Linked DNA regions of Alligator mississippiensis. The protein of the gene in region 2 purifies or fractionates together with the protein of the main gene of each other region. This does not show direct contact. Links are inferred from orthologs where the notes say so. Each region holds a gene or a part of one and is shown on either strand. Other genes may lie near its edges. The genes, in order: MZT1 and TUBGCP2.

Region 1 (16,020 bases), on a different chromosome or scaffold from region 2:
TCCCCAATTCCTTACCTCTGGCTGTGGGGCTGTCAGCAGCAGCAATGGTCCTTGCCTGGCCAGGGAGAAGCAGCAGTGGCAGCTCTAGGTCTAGGCGGGTCAGGCCCGTAAGGGTCGGAGCCAGAGCTGAATTCTAAACAACTGGGAGAACAGGAGAAAGCTGTGCAGTCTCCCCCATGCATACCTCCTCTTCACTGCAACACAGCTCCAGCTTGGCCTCAAGTCAGAGGCTGCACTACCATCTTTCCTTGCTTTCCCCTCCCCACCATTGGTGATTGGCAAAAAAACACCTTCATCTTGGATTTGAGTACATACAGTACTTATGGCTCAGAACGACAAGATCACACCCTCTTGTCATTTATAAAGAAAGAACAGAACAGTTTGTGTACAATTTATGCACACCTGCTCTCTTCCACATTTGATGAAATACATAGAAAGTATGCTTTTCTGCTTTGTTACAGTTTAATACCAAAGTCCAAAGTTTCATTTACACAAATTTGGGACAGTGGATTCATGATACAGTTTAAAAAAAGACCAAAAGGAAAATCTCTGACCACATGAAGGTGCAAAGCAAACATTTTGCCAAGATTATATTTGGGTTTTGTATTGAAATTGTCCTTCCAAATAAATAACCTACATGTACAGTGGATTCAATCACATAATATTTTCTGCTCTTACAAAATGGCTCTGAAGCTCAAATAGGGTAGTTAAACTATTTAGAATATTCACTGTATAGTCTCTTTAAAATAATGTTTTTGCTGACCATATAAAGGAGGGTTGTCCAACTGGCAGTCCCTGGGCCTATTCGGCCACAGCTAGTCCTACAACTTTAGCCATGGGCTCCAGGTTCCCCTTGCCCCACTCAGCTTTTGTTTTTTTTTCCTGTCCCGGGGGTGGTGTGGCGCAGCCTACGGTGCTGTGGGAGCTGCAGTGTGGTGCAGCAAGGGAGCTGGGGTGAGGGCCACCCACACACAGTGCACTGGTGGTGGGGATGCCACCAATGAGTTGGCTCACACTAGTGTGGTCCTGAGCTGCTTAGAGGTTGAACAGTTCTGATCTAAAATATACTTTGGTTTTAGGATAGTTTCATATGAAAAAGGAGCATAGACAGTGTAAAAGAACATTATAAAGATTATAGCCTTTTCTTAGATTTTTAAATGAACTTTGTATAATATTACTTAAGAAGTAAGTTCTTCCTCAATTAAGAGTAACTAACCCAGATATAGAGCTGAAGTAGTGAGGTCGCCAAATTTACACATGACACAAAATTATTCTAAGTGGTAAAGACCAAAGCAGCTTGTGAGGAACTACAGAAGGATCTGGCACTACTGAGTGAATAGGTAACTAAATGGCAGATGAAATTCAAAGTAGATAAATGTAAAATGATGCACATGGACAGAAATAACCCAGACTATATACTACAATGGGCTCAACATTAGCCGTTCCTACACAGAAAAGAGATCTGGGAGTCACTGTGGACAGTTCACTAAAAACATCAGCTCAGTGCTCAGCAGCCATCAAAATAATACCCAACATTTTGTTTGACATTAAGACAGGAATTGTATACAAAACAGAAAGTATCAACATGTCACTTTATAAATCCATGGAGCATCCACACCTTGAATATAGTGCTCAGTTCTGGTTCCCACACCTCAAAAATGAAATAGAAGAACTAGAGAAGATACAGACAAGGACAAGGATGATTAGTGCTAAGGAGAGCCTTCCATATGAGGAGAGACTAAAGGGGCTGTGCCTATTCATTTTGAAGAGAGACACTTGGGGGGAAGACATAATTAGCTTACAATACTAAATGGTGAAGAGAAAGTAAATAGGGATTTATTATTCACTCTCTCACACAATGCAAGAACTAGGGGTCATAAATGAAACTAGCAGGTAGTAAGTTAAAAATCAACAAAAGGAAACTCTTTTTTACTTTGCATGCAATTAAAGTGTGGAACTTGTTGCCACCAGATATTGTGGATGGTGACAGTTTAGAGATTCAGAAAGGGATTGGACAAACTCTTGGAAGAGTAGCTATTAGCTATTCATTATCATCAGTACCTATTAGCAGTGGAGTTGGGGATACAGCCTCTGAATCAGAAGTTCCTGACCTAAACCCTAAATACTGGAGGTTGCAAGTGAGAGAAAACAGTGGAGAAAACCCTGGCCATACCCACTTCACTCTCCCTTTCAGCATCTACTCTCTGCCTCTGTGTGACATAGGATACTGGGCAAGAAAGATCTATGGTCTGACCCAGTAAACGGTAATTCTTATCCTACTGACAAAAATCCTTACTAGGTACAGCTGCTTAAGTACAGCCAACAAAATTTGTTTCCTTGGATTTTTAATTTTTATGAGAATGTACACAATTTTTACATGAACTTCTAATTACTTGTAACTTTTTTTTTTTTAATGAAAAACATATGGAGTTTGTTTTTAAAGATGGCTTACCTTCAGAGCTTCTGTAGCTTTACGTAATTCTTTAATAACAGAGGATAAGGCCTCTGGGTTTATCCCTTGTTCACAAAGCCGTACACAAATAGACAAGGTTTCCATATCCAAGCCAGTGTTTAATATTCTTGAAATCTCGAATAAAACTACAATTATTAAAAAAAAAATCGTGAGTTTGTTTTTATACATTAAGAGTGCTGTACCATCCAGCCCATATGACGAAGTAAAAGCTTTCTTCCTCTAGCCAGGGGTCCCTTGCCTGCTCCCAGCTAGACAGGCACCTGGGTCTCCTCTGGAGACTACTGTTGCAGTTGCCCTCCCCTGCTCTTCCCTCCACCCCCTGGTAGTTCCTGTGCCAGCTGCCCCAGTTATCAATATGAAAGACCCTGAAGGAGCAGCCTCAGCAGTTGGGAATGCCCTTGTCCCCTTAGGGACAAATCAGGAATGGGAAAGGAGCAGACAGTGGAAACAGCAAGGCAGAGTAAGGTCCTGCCCTCTGCTCTTACCTGGCACCAGGGAGACCAGTGGTTCTTAATCTTTTTAACATCAAGGCATGCATAGTTCAGTGACTCTGCTGGGGTAACACAATTCTCAAAGATTATGGAGGGGTGGCTTGAGGCTAAAAAGGCTGAGATTCACTGCTGTAAACACAGAGCTGCTACACCAGTCTCAACCATGTGCTCCATGCCCCAGGCTAGAGTGGGGATGGAAATGGAAGGTAACTGGCAATGATGGGGAAGGGGCGGGTAGACGTAGCAGCTCTGACACTGACTCTGGGTCAGAGCCACAGCAGCTGCCTGCTAACAACAGCTCCCCACCACCCCAATGCTAAAATCAGAAAAAAAACCCAAAAAACCTTGTCTTGGATTTGAGCAAATCCAGTACTATTCACCTCATCTTTCACTTAAAGAACTGAAGCAAGGCAAAGGATAAATTCTGAAAAGCTGATAAATAATTCAGGAACCTTATTTTAAAACCACTCTAGTGTTCATGACTGAAATTACTGGGAGTTAGGATGATAGGCACGTTTGAAAATTCCTCTTGGTACCTAAATACCTTAAACATCTGGGCCTATTGTAGCCTGTTTCTTTGAAAGTCAACAGAACTAAGGTCTTCACTGCCTAGGTAACTTAAAAAAAATAAAGACAAACAGACTTAGGCACTTTCACAATGTTACCCAAAACAATATGTCAGGGGCACACAAGAGCCACTTACACGAATGAAATTCTACAGGTGTCATAAGTTTTGCCAGCAAAGTTCTCCAAGACCTAGAGTTATCCTTGCAGGAATGCTCAGAACTGTCACAAACATGGCAAAACTGGATAGCCTGGTGATTATCTCCAATTTAAGCATGTCAAGATTCACAAACTTGGGTATTCCTGTGTGCAAGTCCTCTGAGGGGCCTGGATCCTATACATGTGATAGCACTTAATTCAGAAAGCACAGCAGACAGCTACTTAAATTAAAAAGCAGAGCCAGAGGAGGCAGTGTCCACCTTTTATGCAATATCCTAATACAAGGGTGTCCAATTCAAGGCTTCTGGCTGCCCAGACAATCCACCTCTGGCAGAAGGGCAATGGCTTGTTACAGCTCGGGAACCCAGAAGGTGAATTCTGCTGTTGCTCACCTTCCCTGCACTGCCCTCCATTTTCTCTCTGCCATGAACCTCAGTTGCCAATGGTAACCCAGAATTCCCTAGCAGACAAAGATGTGTGCAGGGAGCAGGCAAGGGCTGAGTGGTGGTAATCTCTGACTTCCAGAACCACGTTGACAGTGCCGCTGGAACCCAGCTCAGGAAAGTGGTACTTCAATTTATGATTTGTTCTTACTCAGTAAGTGTCTTTGGTTTCTTGAGAACAGTAAAACATTAAAATAGAAGTTGAATCAGATAACCATTGAATCAAGAACCAATGAATAGAAACTGGAAGTATAATAAAATGTTAGGTTGGAAATTTAGAGGAAAATCTCCAACCATGAAAACTAAATAGCTCTGGAACAGCCTTCCAACAGCAGTAATGGGTATGAAGTTCTTACTAGGTTTAAAATGGAGCTTAGGCAGTTTATGAAAGTGACTGTATGACATCATCAATTTTGATATTAGGGCATGGAACATGATCAACCCTTCTAGACCTATGTTCCCAACTAGTGTTTGAAACCCTCTGTTGCCACCCATTCATTCAAGTAAATGTGAAGTGTTGCTTCTTATTCCCCTCAAACAAGAAATTTAACTCTTAAACTAATTAACAAGTTTGAAGGAAAGAATATTTAGCAATCTCTCTCTCATATTTTATACCACCATTGTGAGCTCTTCCCTAAACTATTGTTTACAAAGGTCTTTTCAATAGGCCTATCCAGTTTCCATATGTGAAAATTACTAATGGACACAGTTGATGAACCTAAAAATTCTTCAGCCATTTTCCTGTAACTCTTACTGCTGACAGGAAAAAAAAAACAACATCAGAGCAACACTAACATCTATTTTTACTCAATTTTTTTAAAGTACCTTCAGGTTCCATTATTATTGTATCTAATTATCCCACTATTTCACTATGTCTAGAGAGAGATTAGAAGAATTCTCTAGACAAAGACTGGGTACTGAAGGGTGAACCTCATTCTGCCCCATTTGTGCCTGGTCACAAAAATAAAAGAAAAAAACCGACTTGTAACTAACTGAAATGGGCACAATAAAGTTGTGCTGCAAAAAACAAAATAGGACCCGATTCTGAAAAACAAAATAGTTATAAAGAGACAATATCTCAAGCTCACCCAGCATACTTGATTTGATCAAGCTACAGAAAATCACTACCTTGATTACATAGTGGAAAGAGCTTATTTACATTGTTTAACAGAACAATGAACAGAAAAATTCAGGGTCTGGACTCCAGGAATACTCAGATTAGTGTAAATGTAGTTTGAATCTGAGACAGACAGGTGTACAGGCCTGTTATAACAGTATAAGGCTGCCTGGAACAGGTCAAAAGTGGTGCTTGATTTTCCAGGTACCTTTTGAACCAGTTCACTGTGATATTAGATGTGGATACAAAATGTTCCATGACACCAGTTTGGTCAGTCCTCCATTAACTCCTCATTGCATCAACCTCTTTCTCCCAAACTCTATTACCTCTGACATGTCTCCCCTTGTGTTGGCATTTTCATCACTGAGCTCTTTTGCACTGCTCGTTCAACCAAAGCTATCCAACAACCAGCTGAATCTGCACTCCCTACTCCACTGTGGCCCCTCATTATACTTCCCCAGGCCCTAGGAAGTCAAAAGTGCAAATCTAAGCACTTTCCCCCCCTCCATTCCCCCAGACCACCCCAAATGAGGCAAGCCCATGGCAGACTTTGCACCACTGCACTTGGGTTTACAGAAGGGAAAGCAGAAAAGGCAAATGCCCCTAGCCACAAGTCCCTCACCATTTGGACCCTGAAGAAAAAAGTCCAGATATAGTGGGCTCATTCCTGCCTCCTGGTGATGGAGTCACAGCACTTCATAAGACCTGTCAGTTACTGGGTCAATTACATACTTCCATCTTACCCGGCATCCATCTGCCTGACCAGGAAGAAGGTTCTGGCCCAGAGGACCCCCAGTGATTGCAAGGTCATCCTCCTGCCTCTCATCCACCTTGTTCAAGGGCCAGTGGGCACTGTCCAGTGTCCTGTGCTCACAGCCCCCTCTTGGTGCATTTGTTGTGAACAGAGATCCTGGTTTTCTCCGATTAAAAAAATTCTCAATTTTCAGTTTAAGACAAAAGTAACCCAAAATCCACATTTTTCCACAATTAAAATGAAGCGCCACTAATATCTAGTGGATTTGGTCAAGCTACAGATACATATCTATATATTAGTGGCTTTTCATTTTAACCACAGGAACATGTGGATTTTGAGTTACTGCTTTAATCTGAAAATTAGATTTTATACTTTTTAAATCAGAGAAAACCAGGATCCCTAGCTATGACCCTCTGACCTTCACTTCCATTCCCGCTTTGTAATTAGCTGGTACCTACCTAATACCCCTCTTGCGTTAGCAGTGGCTAACCCTTGCTCCAGGACTCAAGGCCTAGGACACCACCGTGGGTGTCCAATAGGCTTGTTTCATCCACGTCAGCCTCTGGGCAGTGCTGCGGGCTCACTCCATGGGATCACACGGGGGCCAAGGGGCCCCTTGGAGAACTCGTTACTGGCCTCTGCCCTTCCCTCCTACCCCCATCAGTGTTTTGGAAATCTGTCGCTGAACACTAAACTGCTCCTGGGCATCTAACGGCGGGGCTGTTCTCGTCTTGACCCGTGCTCGTATTTCTTTCGCACAAATCAAGCACGGGAGGAAAGTCTGCAGGCCCACCGCGCGGGGAGGGAGAGCGCGGGGGGGAAACCAGGGCGGCGCTCGTTTCCTCGGGGGAAGGAACAGAGCTGCTCCTCCTGCTGCCGCAAACCCCTGCTGAGGCCGGTCCAGCTCCGGACGCTTCGGACGCCAAATACGAGTGGATCCAACGGGCGCCGCAGCGAGCGCCCGCGCCCAACTCACCGTCCATGGTCTCCCGCACAGCGTTCAAGTTGGCCGCGTTACTCGCCATGGTGACAGACAGCGTGCGCCTAACCCGCCACCCGGAAGCACAAACCCGGAAGCGGAAGCCCCTCTTAACAGGGAAATACATAAAACATACATTCAATTGTATATATTTATTCATATAATATATATTATATTTTCTATGAAAATATATTATATTTCCTTGTTAGGAGGAAAAGATAAAATATAATTTATTTTTATATAAAACAACAAAACTAAAAAAACCCCAAAACAAAACAACTCTCCCCCCCCAAAAATCCCACCTCTCGCCGGCGCATGCAGTTACACCTCAGGAGCTATTTCCGTCCCTGCCCGGCCCGCTATGATGTTTCAAATACACCCCACCTACTCCTCCGTGAGGAGGGTTACTCGTTCGAATTTGTGAAGCGAGCCCTGCGCCGATTGGGCTGTTTGAGAGCGGTTGCCACGCGATTGGTCAGGCAGGTGAGGCGGCGCTCGATGATTGGGTAGCGGCGGAGCGTGGGGGCCGGGCCAGTTAAAGAGCTGCCTGGGGTCAGGCAGAGGCGGTTTCACAGGGATCCGCGGGCGGAGGCAGGTATCGCTCAATTTTTGGGTCATCTTTTTTTTCCCTCTCCCTCTACACAGGCCTTCCTGGGCTAGTGCGGGCTAGAGCCCCCATCCCCCCTAGGCTGATTATTTCCTTGGGGGGGGGGGGGGATATTGTCTTTGCGCATGCACAGAGCGGGCCGGGATTAGGAGAGAATCGGGGTTCTGAGAGGTGCTGACCCTACGACCGCGCATGCGCAGAACAGGCCAGAAGTGGCGCATCGAGGGGCTCTGCGGATGCAAAGCTGGAGGAAGGAAAGAGCCTCGGGGTCCCTCGTCCCTTCTCCCTCCCTCCCCCTCCTTTCCTCCCCCACTGCCCCTCCAGGTTTGGTTGCATATTTCACTTAATTTCCTAAAAATAAAGTTTCAGTGGCAATAGTGTGGCTTTTTTTTAGCCTGCCACAGGCCCTGTGCATCATGTGTCACTTGACTTTCTTGGCCAGCTTGAAGGGAGAAGAAAAAGTTCTTACTTTCCGGGATAAGCATACAACTAAGGCAGTGCTGGGGCCATGTGCCCAGTCCAGATATTTCTCATCTGCCCAATCTGGTGTGGTGGGTTAAAGGGCACTCATTGGATTCAACCCCTGTCTGTGGTAACGGGGCTAAAGCTGCTCTCTAATCCTGTGTGCTGGCTCCAGTCGATGCTAGGGCTGTGTCATCTGGCTTGGGACTCTAGTTAATGCAGCCACTGCTTTCCCCCACAAAATTTCCAGACCTGGGGGAATCGGTATCAAGGGCTGGGCGGGGCTTCAACTGACAAGAGTGCACAAAGCTAGTCAAACACAGCGTGGAGCGGAGGAGGGTTGTTACAGGGTCTGAGGTACCCCAATGGTCGCAGCAGCCTCTGGACTGACTTGTCTTGAGGATCAGTATTTATTGCATATAATGCACATCCCATTTTCCCTGAACTCATTTTTGTGGGTGGGAGGGGGGTGGAGGATGCAGGTTTTATCCAAGAAAAGGTTCTGTCTTCTCTGGGAGAAGCATGGTTTTGAGTGGTACCTGTATACCGTTATGCTTTCCATATACAGCCTTTCAGTAAAGAGGTTTCTTCAGACACTTGAGGCCAGATGCTGTTCCGTCTGTTTCAACAGTCCCTAGGCGTGGTTCTCTTCCACTGTGAAAGCCCCAGGAAAACTTAAAACCGTATTGGATCCTTCTCCACCTCCTTGTTGCTACTTTTTTGTGATGGAGTCTTAAGGTTAAGATCAGTGCAGTTACAAAGCAAGATGTATGGGTTTGGATGATTGGCCAGGAATTCAAACTGGGTGGAATAGGATCACGCTTAGGGTATGAACAGGCATCTTGTATGTCCTGGGACCAATTGTGCAGGTAATTGTCCTGGAACAGAAAAGTCATGTGATAGCCGTGTACATGTTGCCCTTCCAGTTGGAGTTTAGTTAGTGGCTGAACGCATGGCTGCTTTTCTGGCATTGATCCAGTGATGCAATCCCCACATGTCTGTTGAGATGCTCTTCAAAATATCCTGGGGCATATTTAGCTATCTTATCTAGTAAACCTTTTTTGGGGTCTGTACTGGGTCAATGAAAATGGCATCTGAATGATGGATTCACTGAGGTTCACCTTCAAATTAAAACCAGGTATAGAAACCAGGTATAGAGTCATTATCCTGTGATAATTACAGTGTACTTGTAGCTGGCCTAAATTTATTGAGCAGTTAACCAGTTAATTGCATGATAACTACCTTGCACATGTAGCTGGTCTACACTTATTGCACAATTAACCAGTTAGTTGCATAACATATGTCTCATGTAGCAGGGGCCTAATTCTCTTTCTCTGATTTATCTGAAACCGATCAGAAAACTGACCAAATTTAAACTTCTTGTACTCTCTTCAGTCTGACTAGATTTTGAATTGCTAATGTTTCTCGAAACGATCGTTTCTTACTGCAAAACCATGGGGTACTGAATGATCTAAAATTATAACTTCTTATTTTCCTTCTAGGTATTGTACTGTGTTATGGGTGATAGAAAAGAAGCTAAAATGCATATAACACCGGAAACTCCAGGACGGGTTGCTGTTCTGAACCCTTTTGAAAGTCCAAGTGATTACCATAGTCTGCAGGAACACGTGGTTTCCAGTCCTTCTGTCTTTAAATCAACGAAAGCCTCATCGGTAAGATTTAATCCTTAGTACATGAATATGGAAGAAATAGCAATACTTCCACATACACATTTTTCACACTTCGTAAAGTACACATGATTTGTAATACAACTTGAAATATTTTTACAAGAATTTAAACATAGTTCCTTCTGTGGAAACTTACAGTATTACTATGGTTGGTTTGTTTGTAGTGCTGTGTAACTGTTTTGAAAGTCTTGATGTTACTGCAGTTTTAGTGATTTTAAGAAAACCCAGCTAGTTGTACATGACACTATTCTAATAGTATTGTTGAGTTAAAGATGAACAATACTGGTTAGCTAGGTTTTCTTTAGAGAAATGCTGTCTGCAGTAACACTTGTTCCAACATTTTGATTCAAGTAGGCTGGGTGTAAGTTTAAACTCAATAGTCATAATGCCCCCTACTCCATGCTTTATCTGGCCTTGTTTAAGGCTTGAACTCTCTTCTATACAGTGGCCTAGTTTCAACACGGAGGATGGGAAGTGTCTCTACCACAGAACATGCAGAGTCCAGTGGTTACCTGAATAACTCCATAGGGAGGTAGTTGATGTAGGTTTGAATCTGGGTCTCTGGTGAGGTCTGTAGCTACTGGGCTATCACATAAGATGGACACCACTAGCACCTTCTTTCCCTTTTTAAAAAGAAAGCAGCCATAACTGCATTTTTGTATGAATGAAGCCTTGTATACGGATGCATGTTAGGTGTGCTCTGAAGACACAGTTCATGTCTATCAGGGGACTTAGGTAGGGGACTTTCTAGGTTTTGAATTTTAGCTGGTCTTTGGTATGATTTTGGCCCTAGTTGTTCAGACAGGAATCATCTTGTGCCACATGTGGAGATGTAGCTCTAGGTGACATACTTCTTGACTTTAAAATTTTCTAGGCACCAATGACTTCAGGCTCCTACAGGGCTAGATGGCAGCTGAACAGGTATTTCTGGATCTCAGTTTTGAATTTAGGGACCTAATTTCTGAACCGGATCTGACCCTTAGATACATCATTTACCACTTCCATCTCCATTACTCATCTGTGAAAGGGGCATAGTGGTATTCTCATAGTAGTTCTCTGAGACATATTTGTTAAGAGCTTCGATAATGGAAAGCATCAGTTAATGCAAAATAGTAGATAGACTTTGTTGTTTCACTTCCTATGGTATTGGTACTGGTTATTAAAAATAAAATTATTAAAATGTAAGTAGTCACTTTCTCCTTTTTTGTTGTTTAAATATCTAGCTTTCACTGATTGAAACAATTGCTGCCATCTTAGTGAGGTAATGAAAGTGCCGTTCCTTTTAAAGATCTGTGGGTTTTGTTTCCTTTTGCTTGGAATAGTAAACACTATGCTCTTCCTTCTTTTCTTAGACCCCAGGAAAATTTAGGTGGTCTATTGATCAGCTGGCTCTAATAAATCCTGTGGAAATTGACTCTGAAGATGTTCGACGTCAAGCAATGTATTTAAGTCATGCTAGGTATGTTGCTTGTTGTTTTACCTAGTGAACTGAAGTCATATTTGAATACCTGAAAGTTGTGCTTACACATGTACATTTTTAATGTATCTCTATAAAGAGTGAACATTTTCTATTAAATGATAGTGCATATAACATTGCTTTTTTCCCTGCAGTTATTTAGATTTTTAGTTTGTTTTTTTAAGTCTCTGTTATGGATATAAAATCTTGCTTCTCCATTATTTGTCATGCCAAGCTCCATGGAACAATCTTGTAAAGAGGCTGGATTACAGATTTTGGGCAGAAGCACACCTTTCAGTCACTGGTACGTGGGGAATTTCCTCTAGTTTGTTTTTCCTGCCTTTACAGGGCTGACCAACTCTCCTACACCTCCACAGGTGTAGGGCTTTTTTAGGTACACACACGTGATGAGTGCATCAGGACTCTGCCAACAACTTTAACCACTTTTATTATTTTATGGCATGGGTCTGGTATTGGGTACTGCAAGCACTCCACTGTTTCAGTGCCTAATGGGTTGCAGGCCATTAGCAGAGTTTGATATTTCTTGTGGCAGTTTTGTTACCACAACACAGTCTGGTCTTAGCTGCTGTCCTGCATTTTTACGCAAGAGACTGTCCAAGCTTTCACAGTTTTCATATGCAGCAGCAACCATAGTGGTATCATAAGAGTTATGTCTAGGGATCTACCCAAGTCAAGATGGCAGCCAGCCAATTTCACGGGCAGGTTACGGGGCTGGCTCCCATTTTTACGGGCTTATTGTGGTGGGGCTCCCTGTGCCTCTGCTTGAGGGACCCTAGTGGAGTTCCCCACTGCTGCTGATTGATTGGTAGAGGGCGTTCACTGTCATATGGCTCTGCCTCTTGCTACTGATGGGTGGAGAGGGGCAGGGCTGCATAACAGGTAGCCCTCTCAGCCAGTCAGCAGTGAGGGGTGGGAGTGGCTCTTGCTTGCTTGCCATAGTGCTGCCAGCCCCCTTAGTGCCAGTGTGCATGGCCAGGAAGACTGCCGGCTCACACTGGGGAGCTAGCATTTTATTTTTAGTAAGTTTTTATTTTATTTTATTTTTCCTGTGGATTTCGCAATATCTACAGTATCCATGAAATTGTGATTTGAGTAGGTCCCTAGTTATGTCACTGCTGATGCTTTCACTACAATGTCATGTCACTGGTTCTATCTGCATTTTTAGTTATATGTGGCAATTTTCTGGAGGTATTGCAAAACTAGTCAGAAAAATGACTGGAGAAAGGGAGATAACAGAGGATGAACATACTTATAAATAACCAGGTTCAGTAATGCAACAAAGGGCTTCTATATAGTGTTTTGAACTAATTTATAGCTCCATCAGTTATTCAGGTATTTGTCCCAAATGGTTTCTAAATATAAAAACATGATCTGAAGCTATTCACATATAATAACCATATACAAACACTTGAAATACTTTTCTGTACAAGAGGTTATACAACTAATTGTCAGTATGTGTTTCTTCTGGTTGTGAATTATACTGTTATTAATTACTGAAAGGAGAGTTTTAATATATACTTTGTTGACAGGGAGGGAAAACTGAAAGGTGCAGTTAAATAAATGATTTGAATAATGGTTAGAAAATTGAACTGGCAGAAAACTATAATATAATTTAACATAAGATTTTTTTGGAATTACTATTTTGTATAAGATTATATAAAAGGAATGCACGAGACAATTCATACTGGAAATTTGGGATTCTTGTATATTGGCTGGGATAAGATGGATAACGTGCATACTGTTTGAAGAGGGATTTATACACTGAGGACAGGTAGAAACTGTCAGAAATAACTACATTGACATACATGTTTCTTTATGTGCTTTCCACTGCGGTTTTTTCCCCCCTCTACCTGGTATTATTCTTCATAGTAAATCTCTTTGTCGTGTTTAAAATAAGGATATATTTAACATTATAGTAATTTTAGAAGTAGAATATTTTTATAAGCAAAGCTCTATTTTATTCCAGGATTTAGATGGAAGAAGAGATCTATTATGAAGACTATTTTTTTTCAAGTGTTGCTATTAAAATTGTCTATTGTGGAACTTAGTTTTTTGGGTTTTTTTAAAGTAGATAGTTACAGAGGAACTGCACATAATAAGAATTATTCCTAGCATGGATTTATTTGGTAAAATTTGATACTTAGTTTTAGTTTAAGATTATTAAATGGTGTACACTTAATGAACTTCTAATTTCCAGAACCTCAAATATAATAACAGTATTTGTAACTTGCTGCTTTTTAATTTTCTTTATTTAGACTAGATAAAGAGATGGAAGACAAAAGACAAAAAGCAATTGAAGAGGTAAATAAGACTGATATTTATATTAAATTGTATATTAATGTTATGCAAGTAAAATGAACAGTAGTGCAGCGTGCAGTGCCCTGCTGTGCCGCATTGCACCCGTGTGATGGTGATGGTGTAGATGTGAGGTGGGGGAGGGGTGGTGATCCCCCGCTGCCCCGTGCTGCGCGGGGCAGGGGCTCTGCCACAAGCCCTCAGGCCCCAGTCACCACTGCCAGAGCCAGTAAGTGCAGGGCTTTTTTTTTAATTTATTTTTTGTTTTTAAAGCTCCTCGCTCACCGGCTGTGGACCGTGCGGATGGCAGCATGCTGTTGCTGCCAGCTGGGGCCAGCACCAGCACTCGAGTCTGCCCAGTGCATCCTGTGCTGAGTGCTGGGAAGAACCCAGTGCTGGCGCTGGCACCAGCTGGCAGTGGTAGCCTGCTGTTATCCCGCATGCAGATCTAGGGGCCCACACCCCCCAGGAGGGCTGCGAGGCTGTGCCAGACTCCTCCTAGGGGGAGCAGGCCCCTGGATCTGCATGCGGGATGACAGCATGCTGCTGGCAAGTGATACTAGTTTTGCTTTGAAGAGTTTGAGGTGCAGTTTCCCAGAAACCCCTGCACCTATCGCCTTGAAACTTAGCAGGCTTCATGGCCTCAGAGGGAGCTAGCATCTCTGCATGTTTAATCTGAATCAGACAAAAAATGATGAAGTTATGGGGCAGTTTTATATTTCCCCATTATAGCCTATGGCTGAAAAACCGAAATACCATCGAAATTCCAAAACGGCTCCGAAACTGTTTCGGCTGAAACAAAATGGGACAATGATTCGAAACACTATTTCTCCAAAATGCCGAAACTGAAATGAAACACAGGTGTTCTGCGCAGCCCTATTGTGTATAGAAACAAGCACGTATACATAACTTCATAGATTTCAAATAGGAATTCATAGTGTCAAAAATGGTTGTGGTCTTTTGGAGTTCTTTGTAATTGAAGAATTGTTTTATTAATTTCCATAATCAAAAAACAAGTGAAAACCAAGAACTGGTGTATTCTGAGGAGTGTCTTGGGTCTAATGAGAGGTGCCACAGCAATAGAGACACAGTGTGTCTAGTTGTACACTTTTATGCCCATATCATTTAGATTGAGAACATTTAAAAGAAAAGGAAAACCTTCATGGAGTGACACACTAACAAACTTTTAAAAAAAGAAAGATGTTTTTGTATGCAGCAAGTTGTAATAATTTTAAGATTGGTGATGTTGATTATCAAAACTTAATACGCAAAGAAAAAGAGAGAAGGTGATATCTTTGCCTGCCTTGTTTGAGACATCTTAATGCATTTCCAAGTTAAATATACTTTTGTGTAAAGGTTCAGAAGACGATGAGATGTTGGACTTATGCCATGTAGTAATGGTCTGAGATGAAGCAAGCTCTTGATGTCGTATATCTCATTAGGAAAATCTGCTATTCACTTAAGCCCAAACCCATGAGACTGTGTTGCAGTATTTTATTTTGACATATCTGGATTACATAGACCATGTACAGGTGCTTTATTTCTATGTAGAATTGTTCCGCTCTCTCGGGAGAAACTATGAACATACAAACTTTTAATTTTTCCTTTGGGAAATATGTCTCATCCAGGAAAAACTAGGTCAATACTTAAATGATCTTCCTTGCAAGAGAAGCTCTTTTGCCAATAGGACAATGCTCCCTCCAATTGTCCCAGACCGAATGGGTTGGGTGGTTGGCCCTACTACTCCTTGCTTTTCCAGAGACCTGGTCTGGAGAAGGTACAAGGAATCCTTCCTTGTGGCTTGACTCCTCTTGGGGACTGTGAAGATTAGAACCGCTGCTGGTTCCCATGGCTTTCCCAGACTGGGATCACACTGATCTAGTGAAGGTGTGGAGAGCAGTAGGAGTAGAAGCTAGGGAGGAAAGTGGATCCGGCTAACTATAGGCCCATTAGCCTGACTTCCATCCCGGGGAAGATCTTAGAAAAGTTTATTAAAGAGGCCATCCTTAATGGACTGGCTGACGCCAACATCTTAAGGGATAACCAGCACGGGTTTGTTGCGGGTAGGTCTTACTTGACCAATCTCATTTCCTTCTATGACCAGGTGACCTATCACCTGGACAAGGGAGAAGAGATTGATATCATATAACTTGACTTCAAAAATGCCTTCGATCTGGTGTCCCATGATCACTTCTTGGTGAAGCTGGCCAGTTGTCGCCTTGGGTCCACCACGATCCACTGGCTGGAAAATTGGCTCCATGGTCGGACCCAGAGGGTAGTAATTGATGGAAGTCGCTCATCATGGTGTCCTGTGACCAGTGGGGTCCCCCAAGGCTCTGTCCTTGGACCCATACTATTCAACATCTTCATTAATGATGTGGACACTGGAGTCAGAAGCGGCCTGGCCAAGTTTGCCGATGACACCAAACTTTGGGGCAAAGCATCCACACCAGAAGACAGGCGGGTGATCCAGGCTGACCTGGACAGGCTCAGCAAGCGGGCGGACGAGAA
Region 2 (15,666 bases):
AGCTCTGCAGTATATATTTCCAGACAGAGAAATAAAATCATTCTCTCCACTCCAAAAAATACTGGGGGAGTAGTTATATGGCCTGTGTTGTAAAACAGCTCATATGTTAAAACTTTTAACCTTACCAAAAAGATCTATGAAAGCTAGCTTCCACTCACTCCCATCTCAAAGTTACATAGGTACTTACAGATTGTTGCACAAAATTTAGAACCAATTAATGTTTTCTGAAGCCATTTCCATCTTTGGAATTAGATGAGTATTACCATATATACTCTAATATAAGAATCCTGAATATAATATGACCCCCCCCACAATTATATTCTATATACAAAAAAATGTATAAATTTGTTACAATTTTCCAGGTATAGAATCAAATTATTGTAGGCTTGCTTGATTTTATCCACCTCTCACTACTTAGCAGGGAAAATAATTTTTTTTTGGGGGGGGGGAGGGGGAAGGGGGGCAGGTAGCCCCTCTGCCCCTTCCCCCCACTTCTTTGCCCTGCAGCCCCTTCCTCACCTATGCTTATTGTCAGGCCCTGCTGTCCCACACATCCAGGCATGTGCACTTGCAGCAGCTCAAATAGCAGCAGCACAAATTTGTGCTGGAGATTTGTGCCTTAGCACACATGCCTGAACATACACTTTGGTGTGGGGCAAATAGTGCCACTTTGGGCAAACTGACCCTGCCCAGCTCCTCCAGAATCTTCAGCCAGGGGGAGTATACTTGCCCTCAGGAGCTTCTGAGGCCCAGCCAGTTAGTATCTGGGGATGCCAGCCCCCTGTGTCAGCCGCCCTGCTATCTGGGCAGCTATCGCCCAGAAGATGTGCTTGTTGTGGTGGCCTGCTTTGAATTGTCAAAGTATGCCCTCCTGGCCCTAAATGGCCAGGTCAGCCACCTCATCTGCCCTCCAACTGGGTTCCCGGTGCTGACCCTGGGTAGGTTCCTCTGCCCGGGGTCTCACCACTTGTCTCATCAGCAGACAGTCTGGTGTTTCCTGTTTAAAAATTGCAAATTCTGCCATAAAACCCCCCAATTTCTCATTAAAATACCCCAAATCCATGTTCTTCTGTGATTAAAATGAAACACCACTATATAGAGAGAGATCAGTTGGGCAGCGTTTCACTGATATATTTACAATTTAAAAACAATCTGGAAGTCTACCAGTGCCTCTATCACCATAATAAACAAATTCTAAATATTTATAGGCTTTGGCATTTGCTTTTGTTTTTTTTATCATAGAAAAACCAGAGCTGTCCCTGTCCCCTTCGCTCACCAGGATGTGGGGCATTGCGCAGCATTGATATGCCAGTGCCCTACCCCTGCCCCTCACTCTCAATTCACAGTCCTCCCCAGTGCCCCTCACTCCTGACCCACAGCTCCTGCCTGCTCCCACTAGCTCCCTCCCGGCAGCAACTCCATCCCAGCACCAGGACACGAGTTCAGCAGCAGCTGTCTCACCTGCTGCTTTGTGGTTCTGAGCAGTGCCAGTCCTTGCTGTTCTGCTCCCTGTACCTGTGCCCAGGCCTCAGCAATCCCCATGCCATTCCTGGGAAGCCCCTGATTGTGGCTTAGGGACTGGGCTGGGCAAGGCTGCTCTAGGAGGGCAGGGGGGCTCTAAACCTGGTTCTGGCAACCTCTCCTACCCAGAGCGCTTCCCCACCCCCAACCCCCATCTCTCTTTCTCACACATACACCCCTGCTGCCATCTCCACCCCTCTCACCAGTCCATCATACCCCCCACTATGGGTTCCTGGGACAAGGAGTTCCTACAGGCTGGGGATGCATGTCCCAGCACTGGTGTAGGCATGGAGCAGGGCTCCAGTGGCAGTTGCCCCTGCAGCCACAGCTCCCAACAGCAGGTAGTAACCCAGCCCTTGTGGCTGCCTGGCCACACAGGGTGTGAGATATGTGGGAGGATATGTGGGGGCGGGGATGTGGAGTTTGTGGGTGGGTGTAGGGTTTGCAGGGGTGAGGTTTGTAGGAGGTATGGGGCTTGTGGCTGGGTATGTGGGGGGAGGTTTGTAGATGTGGTGTGGGGTTTGTGGGTGGATTGTAGGCGGGGGGGGTAACTGCTCAGGAGGGATGGGTCCTGCCATCCCCCTTCCGCATGGCGCACAGGCCCCCCACAGGAGTAGCAGTGGCTGTCAGGTGCTCGGGGCCCACTGCTGGCAGAGCTCCCCCCTGCGGTGCGGCACAGCTCCAGCTTCCTGAGATCCAGCACCACCTGTGCCACATGTTGCAAGCCTGGACTGGGGCTGTAAGTCTTCAGGCAGGATTGGGCTGCTCTTCCTGTCACCCGGGGCCCCGGCACTGCATACAGGGGCCGTACATTGGGCCGGGCTGGGCCCTTCCTCCAAGAGCCCTGCACACTGCTGGGCTGGGTCGGCTCCATGGAGGCAGGATCTGGCCTGGCCAGACGTGCAGCCCCTGCGTGCAGTGCCAGGACCCTGAGTGACAGCAAGAGTCTCAAAGGCGCAGAACCCTGGGCAGGTGGTTCCGGGTCTCAGGTGGCCCGGGCTGTGCCGCAGGCAGGCTCTGCTAGCAGCAGGTCCCGAGTGCCTGACTGCTGCTTCTGCTGCTGTGGGGGACCCACCCTTCCTGAACAGTCCCCCTCCCCCCCACGTCCCTACTTACCAGGGACAGCACCTGGGTCCAGGTTACTGCTGCAGCCTTGCCCTGCTCCTATTTGCCCCAGCACACTGAGGCAGCATGTTGGGGCAGCAAGAGGAAGGGGCAGCCATAGAGAAGCTTTAGCAGGGTGCCAGAGTGTCTCGTTGGAGGACCCAGCCTCTGGTTGCCTCAGGGCACACTCCAAGATGCCACCTTTTTCCGAGGGGCGGGGGTTGATACTGGGATTTCCTGTTATCAAATTTAGAGTCCGTGTTGCAAATATTTTTTGTGTGGTGAACATTTTTTTGTTCCCAGTGTGCCTCTTGTGGCATCTTAAACTGCTTTGAGACACTGCAACAGCTACATGCCTGTTTATATATAGTATAAACTATGCATTTTTTAATTATTAATTTTGCATCTCAGGCCAAATCAGTCAAATTAGTTTTGAATTTCACCCACTGAGCACAGCCCAGTTATTCAGGTCCACATGGTGTTACCACCAGCAGGTACAAACTATGCATTTCTTTTTTAAATTAAATTTCGTGCCTCAAGTCAAATTAGCCAAATCCACTCCAAATTCCATCAACTGTGTAGAGCCCCATCGTTCAAATCTATGTGGTGCTACCACCAGCAAGTATCTTACTTCCCAGCCTCTTCAGCCTGGGCTTTAAATACTCCCGTGCAAAACCAAAGCCAAAAGGCTCCTGATTTACCTTATAGTTCATTGAGCTGGACCCCAGCACAGTTAATTTTTTTCAAGCTACGGTGACCCCACAATTCAGTATATGTGTGTACTCCAGATACCCCTCACAAACAATTCACGTGCTAATTACACACCCACTCACGATTACAACCAAATTTCCTTTGTCACAAGTCTTGGGATCTTTCAAAAAAATTATATGCAGAGGAGGCACAGAGCAACCTGGTCTGACTGCACCTCATGAAGAGCAGAGCTGCACTAATCATATATGAAGGCTGACAGAGGGGGGTGACAGAGGGATTCTCGGTGAACTGTTTGGGGCCCCATTTGGTGACGTTTGCTAGACCTTTAAGGCTGGTGAAGAAAATAAATCACTGGAAACAGGAAAGTCTCAGCTCAGCTGTTTAAGTGAAGGCGAAGTCAAAATGTATGAATGCAGTGGCTCACTATGACCTGAAAAAGTCAGTGCTGAAGGTGACTGCACGCAGTGGGCACTACCATTTATGTTATACAGATTATGGCTGAACTAATCTATCCTTGTGGCATGTTCCCACCAGCATCTTGGCCTTTTGGGTAAGATCAAGCATTTTTAGCACCATGGGGAGGGTGTCAGGGCTGGCTCTGGGCCTCCCAGTGCTGGACTGGTATTGCAGGGGTGGCTCTGGGCCTCCAGGCTTGGTGCCAGCTCCCTCTTAGGGGAGCAACTGCCTGTTTGTTTTTTTTTAAGGGCCACAAAAGTTTCCCATCAGTATGTTTACCTAATACAGGCCATGTGTTTTATAATCATGGTCAGTGTTGGCTGCATTTAATCAACTTCACAGTTGGTTTCCATTACTGAGCACATGCTGCTTTTGGCAGCAGTTTAATTAGGCAATGTATTTAATGAGGTTTCCTTGTATGCAAATGTAAGATGAGTGTCTTTTTCATCTTGTATTTGAGTAATCAGATCAGGGGTTGACAGAACATGGTCTCTGATTGCTCATATGTGAACTAGAGTCATGTTGGCAAATCTCCATCAGCACATTTGGGACAAGAGCCATTTACCTGTAGTTTTCTACCTTCTCCATTTCTGGCATCCTTGGAAGAGGTTAATCAAAGTCATACACGTTTCCCTCCTCTATATTTATCTATCTACACCTCCCCCCCCCCCAAATAGAGGGGGAGGGATAGTCTGTCTTCTAGGCAAGAGATCTAGCCTTGCTTTTCCCTGGACAAATTTCTTACCTACTCCAAACCTGTTTCCTCATCTGCCAGACAGGCATACCACTTTCTTACTGAAAAATATGACTGTGAGGCTTAAAGCTGATGAAAAACTTAGAAATCCTTTGATACAAGTAATTTGAGGCTGCAAAGGATATCACTTTCTTTTTTCACCTGAAATAGCTTGTGTCTTGTACTTTGTTCAGACATAAAACTTATTTGTAGTCAGTGAGAAGTGACTAGGGTATGGCAATTTCTATCAGTGAAAAGGGGGTCAAGCTGCAAATTCAAAGAAAGAAAAATGTTTGAGACCCAGAATTTTAACACTAGAAAGTTCTCAGGCACTGGATATTTAAGAATAGCTTTACTTGCGACTCACCATGCTTTGCTTTTCTGCCATTATCTGGAAGAGAGAGTCATGCCACTCCAGGATGTGAATATCCAACAGATGCCCTGAAGGAAAAGAACGTTTGCAGAAAGAGCACACATTCCTGTGTAGCGTGTTGTAGTGATGTTCATAACCCTCTAAAGTATCAAAGACCTGGCAGCATCCCGCAATATGACATGAGAATTCAGACACCCTACAAAGAAGTGATGAAAATAGTTGTATGTAGGTTATGTCCAGGGATCATGGGTCCCCCTACCTCCCTGGGAGTATGAGCCAGAAAGGGGTGCAGCCCCGCAACCCAAGCCCACAGCTGGCAGGCAGTAGGGTGCAGGAGGCCAGGCTCTGCTTCACAGCAGCAGCCGCCGCCTCCTACCAGAGGCGGCCCCAGGTCCCTGGCCCCATAGCCCTGGCAGCTGGAAGTCTCCTCCAACAGGACTGGGGAAGCAGGAACTGTGGATGGGGGGCAAGGGGCACCAGCAGGGCTGGGGAGCTGTGGGGGGGAGTGAGGAGCAGGGCTGGGGGGTTGCGGTGGGGAGTGAGGGGCACCAGCAGGGCTGGGCAGCTGCCGGGGTGGGGGGGGACTTTCATTTTAATCATGGATTTGGGGAGTTTTCTCAGAGAATTTTTTATTTTTATGAGAGCATAACCAGGATCCCTGATTATGTCAAAGCCATCGACAGCATATAAATCACTGCCCTCTGGAAATTTGCATACACCTACATAATGTGTAGTTTTAGGTAGCTTTGATTACAGACTAATCAATATAGGGAAAGAAGGGGACTATTAAACTGGAGGCACAACAGAATTGGTTTATGAAGACAAAGTAATTAGGAATGCTTGTGTGTGAACTCACACGAACTTAAACTCCTTATGTGAGTCTCAGACCAGCCATAATCTGCATATTAAGAATATAGTTATGCATTGTAAGGATGGACTTCTAATTTAGTAGGGAATTAATTAAAATTAAGCAAAAACATGAGGTGTGAGCTATCCAATTTCAAAACCACAACAAGGGATTAAAAATCCACATTTGTAGTCCTCTGAAAGGTAGCTGTATTTACCCTCAATCTCTGTTGTCTTATTTACCTAGTCAACAGCCAAAATAAAGAAGACCACAAACACCTGAACCTGCACCTTACCCTCCCCCCAGCTTAGTGTCTATATATTCCAGTCAGGAAGGACCTGATGGTAACGATTTGTGCCAGTCTAAAAAATAACATTTCTCTGTTGACATACCGTTATGCACAAGCAACAATAAAATGTATACCACTATATAAAAGGCAGGAAATTGGTTTCTTCTGATCTGAAATCAGACACAATTAAAAGTCCTCCACAATTACTTTCATTAGTGAATCCAGTTTAGAAAGACGTGTACAAACAGAAAGCAGAGACTACAGAGATAGCTAAGAGGAGGGCCAGAAAAATTATCAAAAGCCTCTTTTGTCAGCAGACCTCACAACACAATTTGTATGATATATGCCACTTACTTGGGTTTTTCAGTCACTTGTGTAACACTCACTAGAATATCTTGGAGATACAAGTGTCTGTGAATGTCTCCATCCTAGAACAGAGAAGAGAAATTATTGCCAGTCTACAGCAGTGCACATTCAAAAAACACATTGAAAATCATTTTTATTCCTAACACGACACTCGGCTAAGGAAGAGAAAGAGGTGAGAACATCAATTGGGGGCAAAGGGTCATATATTGCCCCAACTTTAAATCCAATCAACAGAACAAATTAAAAACATAACTTGGCCCTCTTCACAGAATATGTTTGATGCCTCTAGGGTAATGTGCAGATACACCAATACCCTTTACTGTTTCTATGAGAATAACTTCAACTGCTTATCACAGGTCCTTTGTGACTCTTGCTCCATAAGGTCAGGCCTCTATCATATGAACTAAGGAAAAAGCTCCTTTAGGGCCCAGAACCTGCAGACACCTATTCAGCATTTAGTGCCCATGAATTCAAGTATTTGTGGACTGTGCCCCAAATGTTAGTAGCAGAGTTCTTTCTCCTGTTGCTGAGAAGTTCCAACTGGCCACAACTAATACTTCACAGAGACAACTGTGTTCCTCATGTGCTTGTTACAGTATTTATTTTTATAAGACCTTGAAAGTGGGCCATGTCCCTTTACAAGATCCACTTTACTATATGTAATTCATGTCTACACAGCTTCTTTTCTGCCACCAAAACCAAGTTCATGCAGCAGTGTGCATCAAGACCGTTGGCCACGTAACACGACATTCTAGGAATATCTAGGCAGCTTTCCAACCACCTCAGTGGGCAGAGCAGGCACTTTGGAGATATCCTACAGCACAGGAACCTGTGGCCAAGCACAGGAACCTATGGTTAGTGGCTAAGTAGTTACATGGCAGAATTAGAAGGCTCCGTCTCTAGTGAACCAGCAACCTGCTGCCTGCCACCCATCCACTGATTTTTGTTAGTCCATACCCCAGCCAAGGGCATCCACCTATGAGCTGCCAACCCTGCAGGCAAGTAGCTATGGCATGGGTGGCCAGCCTGTGGCTCTTCAGAAGTTAATATACATCTCCTTGAATCTTTGCACAAGCACACAGTCCAAATTGAAGCTGGTCACCGTGTGCTTGTGCAAAGATTCAAGGAGATGTATATTAACTTCTGAAGAGGCGTATGTGACTTTGGAGCCGCAGGCTGGCCACCCCTGAGCTATGGGCTCAGTTGGGAGTGCCTCCTTAGTTTATAAGGGAAGCCTCTTCAAGAGACAGGAAAACATCACAGAAATCATAGAAAATTAGGGTTGTAAGGGACCTCAAGAGGACATTCAATCTAACCACCTTTTCAAAGCAGGACCATCCCCAACTACATCATCCCAGCCAAGGCTTTGTCTAGCCAGGTATTAAAATCCTCCTAGGATGCAGATACCACAACCTCTCCAGGGAGTCTGTTCCAGTGCTTTACCACCCACTTTGAGAGTTTTCCCTCATATCTAACCTAAACTTCCCTTGCTGCAACTTGAAATCATTGCTCCTTGTTTTATCATCTATCACCACTGAGAACAGCTCAGCTCCATCCTCTTTGGAACCACCCTGCAGGTATTTGAAGGCTGCTATTAAATCCCCACTCAGTCTTCTCTTTTCCAAACTAAATAAGCCCAGTTCCCTCAGTCTCTTCTAAGAAGTCATGTGCCCAGCCCCCTAATTATTTTTGTTGTCCTCTACTGAATTCTCCCAATTTGTCCACATCCTTTTTGTAGTGGGGGGCCCAAAACTGGACACAATACTCCAGGTGTGGCCTCACCAGTGCCAAACAGAGGGGAAGAATCACTTCCCTCAATATGCTGGCAATGCTCCTACTAATGCAGCCCAATATGCCATTAGACTTCTTAGCCCACAACCCAGTGCCCACCTCTGCCTGGCATCTGTCACGCCTCACCTGGCAGGGGAGGCATCATCTGCATGGCCGTGAATGACTCCGGTGTAGTTACATGGGTGACCCGTGCTGCCTTAGTCGGGGGAGCATGTACCCCCCCCTGCAACCAGTCTAAATGCCCAGGGGGAGGGTCCCCCCGCAGCCAATCCCACTGCCCGGAGGGAGATCCCCCGCGGCCAATCACTGCAGTCACTTCCATAAGGGGAGAGCCTGCAGCGATTGGCCAGGGCTTGCAGGGGGGGGGCCCCGGCACTCCCGTTTGCCCGCCCTGCCCATCACCTAAGCAGGGAGCGCAGCCAATCAGGCGGTGCACCAGCGCTCTCAGGGGTGCAGATGCAACCCCGTGCACCTCCTATGCATCGCCACTGTGTAGGTAGAAGGTGAAAGCCTGTCTATAAACGTTTCCAAATGCGAGCACTTCGGCTACACAATTTATGGTGAAGGGGGATTGCTTGTGGGATTTCCGTCTAACTTGCTCCTTCATCCTTTTAACTAGAGGCAAGTCAGACGAGGGAGCACCTGACCTCCACGGCCTCTGGGCTCAGAAGCAGAAGGCCGGCCATGGCCTGGGGAGACGCTGAAGCGCAGGCTGACCAGTAGGGGAGGGGGGCCGTTGCCGGCGGCAGGGCCACGCAGACTCAAACCACGGAGCTGTGTTCAGCCGAAATCCGGGAGTGAATCTGGAACCGCTGCGCCGGTGAACCCCCACGCGCGGCGGGCCCTACCTCCAGGAGCTCGTGCTCGCGGGGGCACCGCAGGCGGCGGGGCGAGAAGCGGAACGGGGCCTGCGGCGGGGCGCGGGCCGGCGCGGGCAGGAGCGGCAGCTCGGCGCGCACCGCGGCGCTCAGCCCCGACAGCAGCAACATCCCGCCGGCCCGGCCGGCGCCGAGGGGCGGGGAGAGGAGCGGACAGTTCACTTCCGGGTCAGCCAGGACTGAAGACCACGACTTCCGCTCGGAGGCAGCTGCGAGACGTACAGCCAGGCGAGACCCGCAACCGCCAAGCACGGGGGGCGTGGCGCCAGGCCTTCGACTCTGCTCTCTGATTGGCTCTAGTGTCTCTACCGTCATCTCTGTCTCAGCCAATCGAAGCTTGCGCGGCTCGGCCGCGGCGTTGGCCGTCACTGTTTGTCGGCTGCGAGGAGGAGGCGCGGTGCTGTGAGGCCGCTCCGCGGTGACCGCGGCCGGGCAGGTGGGTGCTGCCGCCGAGCCGGGCCGGGCGGGGGGAGCGCGGCGCCGTCTCCCCGCCCGCCGCGGCGCCCCAGGCTCTGGCTCTGGCTCTGGCTCTGGCTCGGGAGCGGCGAGGGGCCGGATGCCCTCCCGGAGCCTGAGCGGGAAGGGTAGCGGCGGGGCCGGCTGAAGGTGTCTGAGAGCAGGGCAGGCGGCAGCTCAAACATCATGTATATGGGTCCTTGCAGGCGGTTTTCCTGAAATGTTCCCAGGGATAATTGCTCCTCTGGCCTGGTTTAGTACGCCGAGGTGTTGGCGCTTAAAACCCACTGTATGGAAATGGGAGGCTCCTCCCTAGCTTGCTCCTGCGACCTTATGGCTGAAGGCAAGCAAAACTCGGGGGCATCAAAACCCCGAGCCTCCAGGCTTGGGCCTGCCCATAGGATGCCCGCCAAAAGCCTGGAAATATCTGAAGCTTCTGGTGGGGGTGGAGGATGTTTGCCAGTTGTGGGGCTACTTATGGTTTTGGACTGACTCACAGATTTGGACTTGGTTTGGCTGATTTGGCTCAGAACACAAAACATTTATTTAAAAAAGTTTTGGAGCACCTGTGCAAAGCCCTTGAGCAGCTTGGCTGCCGCGTTGGGTTGCAGCGTCCCTCACGGTCCCGGCCGGGCTGCGAGCACCTGGGACGTTTCGGGCCGGCAGCAGTCCTGCTCGCTGTGACTCGCTGTGCACTGAGACGACGCTTCCCTTGCTTCTGCTATCCCTGTGTGTCCTGTCCTGTCCTCCCTAGACTGGGTCTGATGTTATTAGCTGAAGCAGGGCCTTTCTGGCTTTCTGCGGATTCTATGTTCTTTCTTTTTCTGGCCCTTTTCTACTTAAGTTATTTACTCACAAGAATTCAAAATCTCTCGTTTTCTGCTGTACTGAAACAGGATTTTCCTTCATACTTTAGTCCCAAATGTGAAATTAACTTCTCTGTTTAAACTTAGCGTTATTTTTCCCTACAGATTTGCTGTTAGTATGTTAGTTTCTTATAGTAGTTTTTGCTGGTCATTCCCAGTGAAGCTAAAAGCAAACACAGTGTTAAATTAACCCGGTGTACAGTAAGTTCTTTCCCAGTAGCCATAAATCTCTCTGAGGCTTCAAGAAAATACATGATGCTAAAAAGCAGAAACTGTGTCCAGCTTGGCTGGCAAGACTCTGCAGCCCAGAACTACAGTTGTGTTGGCAAAACTAAGTGACTTTTACCAGCACTTGGCAGCTGGCAGAAGACGTGTGGCCCCTTCTCTGCCTTTTGATGGTTGTCCTGGTGCCTTCCAAGGTTGCACATTGTACTCTGACAGCACAGCTGCTGAATTTGAGCTGCTCAGAGCCACAAGAAATGTATGGATGCCCACATCTTCTGGTGGGCAACTGCTGTCTGGTCCCAGACATTCTGGTAAGCAGAGCCAGGCAGAAATCTCCCCTTGGGTTGTCAAAGCTGAGAACATCTGCTGTGATGTTCTAGGTTCTCAAGCCTCTTCTAGACCAGGATTTGGATGTTGTTCAGGCTCTTAGCATACCTTAGTCTAGATAAGGCTTCAGTCTGCTCATGTGAGTTGAGCAGAATACTAAAGCAGGGACAGGCCTGGCACATCTGAGACTGTTTTCTTCTCTATTATCTAATCTAGGTCTCCATACTATGCTCTTCAGCTTGGTATCTAATAACAACTTGCTCTTTGTTTCCTGCTGTTGAGGTTCTTTGATTTTCTCCTGTGATTCTTATTTGACATGTGCATTTGCAATGCACTGTTGGTTAGTGGCCTTTCTGCCGTTCAACTTGTAACTGGAGAGGACTACATCGGCATCAGTGGGTTCACAAAACATACTTTACATTTATCAGTGTAACTAGTGAGAGGCTCTGGATCTGTCCATCAGATGAGCTAAATATGGTAGGTGGAAGAAGCCAAGAAAAAGGGATATTTTCACTTTTGCACACTGTCTCACATTGATTTTGTTAACAGGTTGCCTATGTGGGGAGAGATCAGAATAGCTGTTCTACTCTCATCTTTCTGGAGTAGCTCCCTCATGTGGACACTTATTCTGAGATAAGTGGCTTCTGTTTCAGAGTAGCATCCAGAGGAGGAACTTGTTCTGCAGTAGCTAAGTCTTATACCAGAATATTTATGCCAGTTAATTCTCACTGCATAGACAGTTATTTTAAATCAGCTTTTATCATTTAAGTTCACATCTTATTTGGGCATTTGCTGGGAAACAAAAGTAACTATAAGGGACTTGCATTTTCTTACACCAAGATAACCACGTATGCAAGCCCTTACCAGCATGCAGAGACATCTTCAAATCTAGTCTTTACTGAAGAGCACTTACTTAGTACTATGCAAAGTGTTTAAGTGGTTTAGGAATTTAAGATTTTGTCTACATGTGAGATTATTAAGGCACCTTATGCATTATGCCCAAAGTCCCATTTTCAGAAATGATTAAATACTTGAGAGTCAAAGTCTCATTGAAAGTAAATAGGCTTTTAGTCGCTTAAGTATCAAAGTTACTTTGGAAAATGGGACATGGCTTGTTTAGCCAATATAGCTGTACTGGTAGAACTATGCTGGTATTCCTCATTAGTGGAAATAGTTTAAGAATAGATATACTAGAGCAACTTATTCTAACCATATTTATATCGTTTTTGTCAGCTATGTCAGTTGTGGGTATGACTTTCCCTATTCTATCTTCTAATCAATAAAACTATGCTGGCAAAATTTTAAGTGTAACCTGTGCCTTAAGCATTTAATCCTTCTTTAAAAATTTACCCTGACCGATTAGTCATAATGGTAAGAGGTTCATTTTGTGCTCTACAGTCTGTGTATTTTGAAATTTGTAACCGCAAGTGGAAGCATGAGTGAATTTCGTATTCATCATGATGTCAATGAGCTGCTGAGCCTGTTGCGTGTTCATGGAGGAGAAGGAGCTGAAGTATACATAGACCTTCTGCAAAAGAACAGAACTCCTTATGTTACCACAACTGTCTCTGCACACAGTGCCAAGGTAAGGTAGCCTTGACTTTTTCTAGGCTGCAATAATAATTGAGATAAGTTTTAATTAGAGGTTGGTCTTCCAAAGGTTTCTACTCTCACTGATGTCACTGCAGAAATTTCATTGACTCTAGTAATAGCAGAATCACATGTAAAGAAAGAGAAATTCAAAGCTAAGTTAGTAGAAAAACAAAGGGTATCCTTCCCTGTTGCTGCTTTGCAGCATGTCCGACAGGAAATGAAGCTGAGGTGAGGCTGGCAGTGGGGAGAAAAGGTGATCTGGTCTGCAGCAGAAGAGGAAGGAAAAGTAAGATCATATTTCAGGAAGGGAGGGGAGGGGGTTTGGCTTTCTGTTCTCAGAAGCGTTGTTAAAATAAGAGGAATTTGCTACAGCAAAGAAATTCATGGCTTGGTATCTGCCTGTGGCTGGATTTTGCCTTTCACTAAAATAAAAAGGGTTCCGATTTTGAGGAATAAAATAAAAAATAGATATTCTGTCAAAAACACTTAATAAAAATCCAGCTTTTTTTTTTTTTTTTTTTTTTTTGACTTAAGCACTTTTAGCATCCTGTAACATGGGGGCAGGCAATTATTTCAGCTGGAGGGCTGCTGAATGAGTTTTGGTGAGCTGTCAAGGGCTGCAAGGGTAGCCCCACCCCTTGACAGGTACTTTACCTCCTGGTCACCATGTTGGGACCTGAAGTCTAACCCCTGACCTTTGCCACCGGAAGTCCCTTCCCTTGTACCCCTGGAAATACTCCTTTTGGGAAGGGAGGCTTGCCATCTTGGAACCAGAAGAAAACCAATTCATATACTGAAAGTCAAACACCTACTATAACGTACTTTAGTTTTCTTACAAAAATTATTTTTGTCATGATTTGTGTTTGTGTACTGAATATAGAGCTGATTGCATAATAACTAAAAATAAAGCCTTACTCTTGTATATAGTGTGTGGGAGGTGTGAATTGTGGGGTGTGGTTGGTGGGGGGGTGTATGGTGAGGTCTGGCTGTGTGGGGGGCAGTAGGGTATGTTGGGGGTGTGTGCATATGTTGGGAGTATGTGGGTGTGAGGGAGAGTTGGGGGTTATGGGGAGCCCCTACACATTCCTCCATCCCTCTCCCTCATGGCGCACAGCTGCGCTGGCAGCAGCAGGCAGGGATCCTCGGGGCACTTGTGGCTGGCACAGGCGCTGCCACCAGCAGCTTGTGGTTCTGTCAGTTCTACACATGGCGGCAAGTAGCACAGCCAAACCAGCTTGCCTCTATCGTGCAGGGCTCTCCGCAGCTCCCACATTTTTGTACCACCGGGGGAAGCCCCCCGTGATAGAGCTGGCTGCCTTTGCCACTCCCTGCTGCGCAGGTCCTGGGACTCCATGTGGAAGTAGGGGACAGGGCTCCCCTCCACTTCAGGTGGAGTCCTGGGACCTGCACAGCAGGGAGCAGTGAAGGCAGCTGGCTCCATTGCGCAGGGCTTCCTACGGTGGAGCGTGAGTGCTGGGACCTGCACATGCAGTGCGTGGAGCCCCATGCAGTAAAGGCAGGCTGGCCTGACTGTGTTCCTTGCCACCACGTGCAGTGCTGGATGGAGCCACATGCTGCTGGTGGCAGTGCCTGCGCCAGGCATGAGCACCCAAAGGGCCCCCGCCTGCTGCTGCTGCTGCCATCAGTGGGGACTGTGTGAAGGAGGGTCCCCACACCCCACCACCCTCCCTTATATCCACACCCTGCTCAGCCAAGCTCCGTACTCCCACTACCCCCTATGTGTGGGCTCCATGCTGCTGCCAGCCCCACGTTCCATGCTTCTGCCCAGCTGCAGCTACCATTTGCCCCCACCACTTCCCTACCTGCTGTCCAAAGCGAGCAAGACAGCAGGGAAACCAAGCAAGTCCCCCCAGTGGCTGCAGCAGTGGCAGCAGCAGCCCTGCCTAGAAGCTGTGTGCTGGCTGGGCTGGGCCTTTCTGCACGAGGTGCAATATGGTGTGTTGAGGGTATGTATATATGGATGCCTTGCTCCCACCCCCATGGCCAGAAAGGCTGGGAGGGGTACAATTTGTTGGTGGGCATCCATGGGCCAGATGAAAGTGCCTGGTGAACCAGATGCAGCCCGTGGGCTGTATGTTGCTTGCCCCTACTGTAACAGAACTGCTGCACCAGGGTGGCTGTCATGCCCCCGGATGGCAACTTGGCTCCTGCTCCGCTCTCTCTCAGGCACCCTCCCTTTCCTTTTTCCTGCCATGCCTTGGTCTTATTAACAAACTTGGAAAGGGAGGCTGCTCAAGGGTATTAGAGTGAGCATTTACCCCAGTGCTTCCCAAACTTTTCAACATGACCCAATTTATGACCCCATTTCCTCCTCATGGCCCCTCATTCCCAAACCACAGTACCCCATCCACTGATTTTGTGGGTCATGACCCCAAATGGGGTCACAATTTGGGAACTGCTGATTTAGCCTGTCCTCTTACCTGCAGATCCCTCTTGGACCCTGCTGCTCCCAATCAGTCTGTCCCCATCTTGGCCCACATATACCGCCTCCCCCCAAGGGCACCTGTAGCCCTATGGGCTAATCATAGCCTCCAACCTCTCCTGTAGCTGTGCCCATGCCTCGCAGGTGTACCAATTAAACACTTCAGTGGGCTCTAGGCCCCAGTCTCTTATCCAGACTTTTCCCCCTTTTTGGTCTCTTAATCTCTGCCCTTCCTGGGACTGGGCTTCCTAGCCTGTTTCTGACCCTCTCCCCCCCCCAGGCTCTGAGCACCTGGCCCTCCCTTCTTTGGACACTGGGCTCTCTCTAGCCCCTTTTCTACCATTCTTTGGGCCATGCCTGTTCCCTTCCTGGGATGTGGGCTCTTGCTAGCTTTGGCTTTGTCTCTCCTGGGCTGCTTGTCTGGCCCCCCTTCTTCCCCTCACCCCCCAGCAGGCTCAAGCCTTATTTGCCAGTGGGACCTCCTGTCCTCCCTTAGTCCCAAATCAGGTCCCTGGTTAAAACTCAACTAAAACAGAAGTCCACTTCCTATAACTAAGGACCTACCCAAATTGCTGAAGCAGGCAGCTGATTTTGTGGGTGGATCATGGGACTGGCCACCACTTTCATGGGCTAATCATGGTGGGGCAACCCCTTGTGGACTCGATCCTTGCCGCAGATCCACCAAGA

What was found.
Region 1: the proteins of TUBGCP2 (region 2) and MZT1 purify together in Homo sapiens (affinity purification with mass spectrometry; 4 studies listed by BioGRID and IntAct, counting the BioPlex papers as one, with this or other methods). This does not show direct contact. The link is inferred for Alligator mississippiensis from reciprocal best matches to the Homo sapiens genes TUBGCP2 and MZT1.

What each region holds. Positions count from the first base shown.
Region 1 is NC_081824.1:390,146,016-390,162,035, reverse strand, and holds the start of MZT1 (mitotic-spindle organizing protein 1), read right to left. Parts: upstream 7,070-16,020; 5' UTR 7,027-7,069; coding exon 6,978-7,026; intron 2,599-6,977; coding exon 2,453-2,598; intron 1-2,452. Other genes in the region: BORA (protein aurora borealis), read left to right, coding at 9,567-9,722, 11,090-11,196, 13,470-13,515. UniProt on the Homo sapiens protein: Required for the recruitment and the assembly of the gamma-tubulin ring complex (gTuRC) at the centrosome.
Region 2 is NC_081829.1:23,828,472-23,844,137, reverse strand, and holds the start of TUBGCP2 (gamma-tubulin complex component 2), read left to right. Parts: upstream 1-9,351; 5' UTR 9,352-9,505; intron 9,506-12,341; 5' UTR 12,342-12,378; coding exon 12,379-12,528; intron 12,529-15,666. Other genes in the region: ZNF511 (zinc finger protein 511), read right to left, coding at 4,893-5,094, 6,389-6,462, 9,040-9,180. UniProt on the Homo sapiens protein: Component of the gamma-tubulin ring complex (gTuRC) which mediates microtubule nucleation.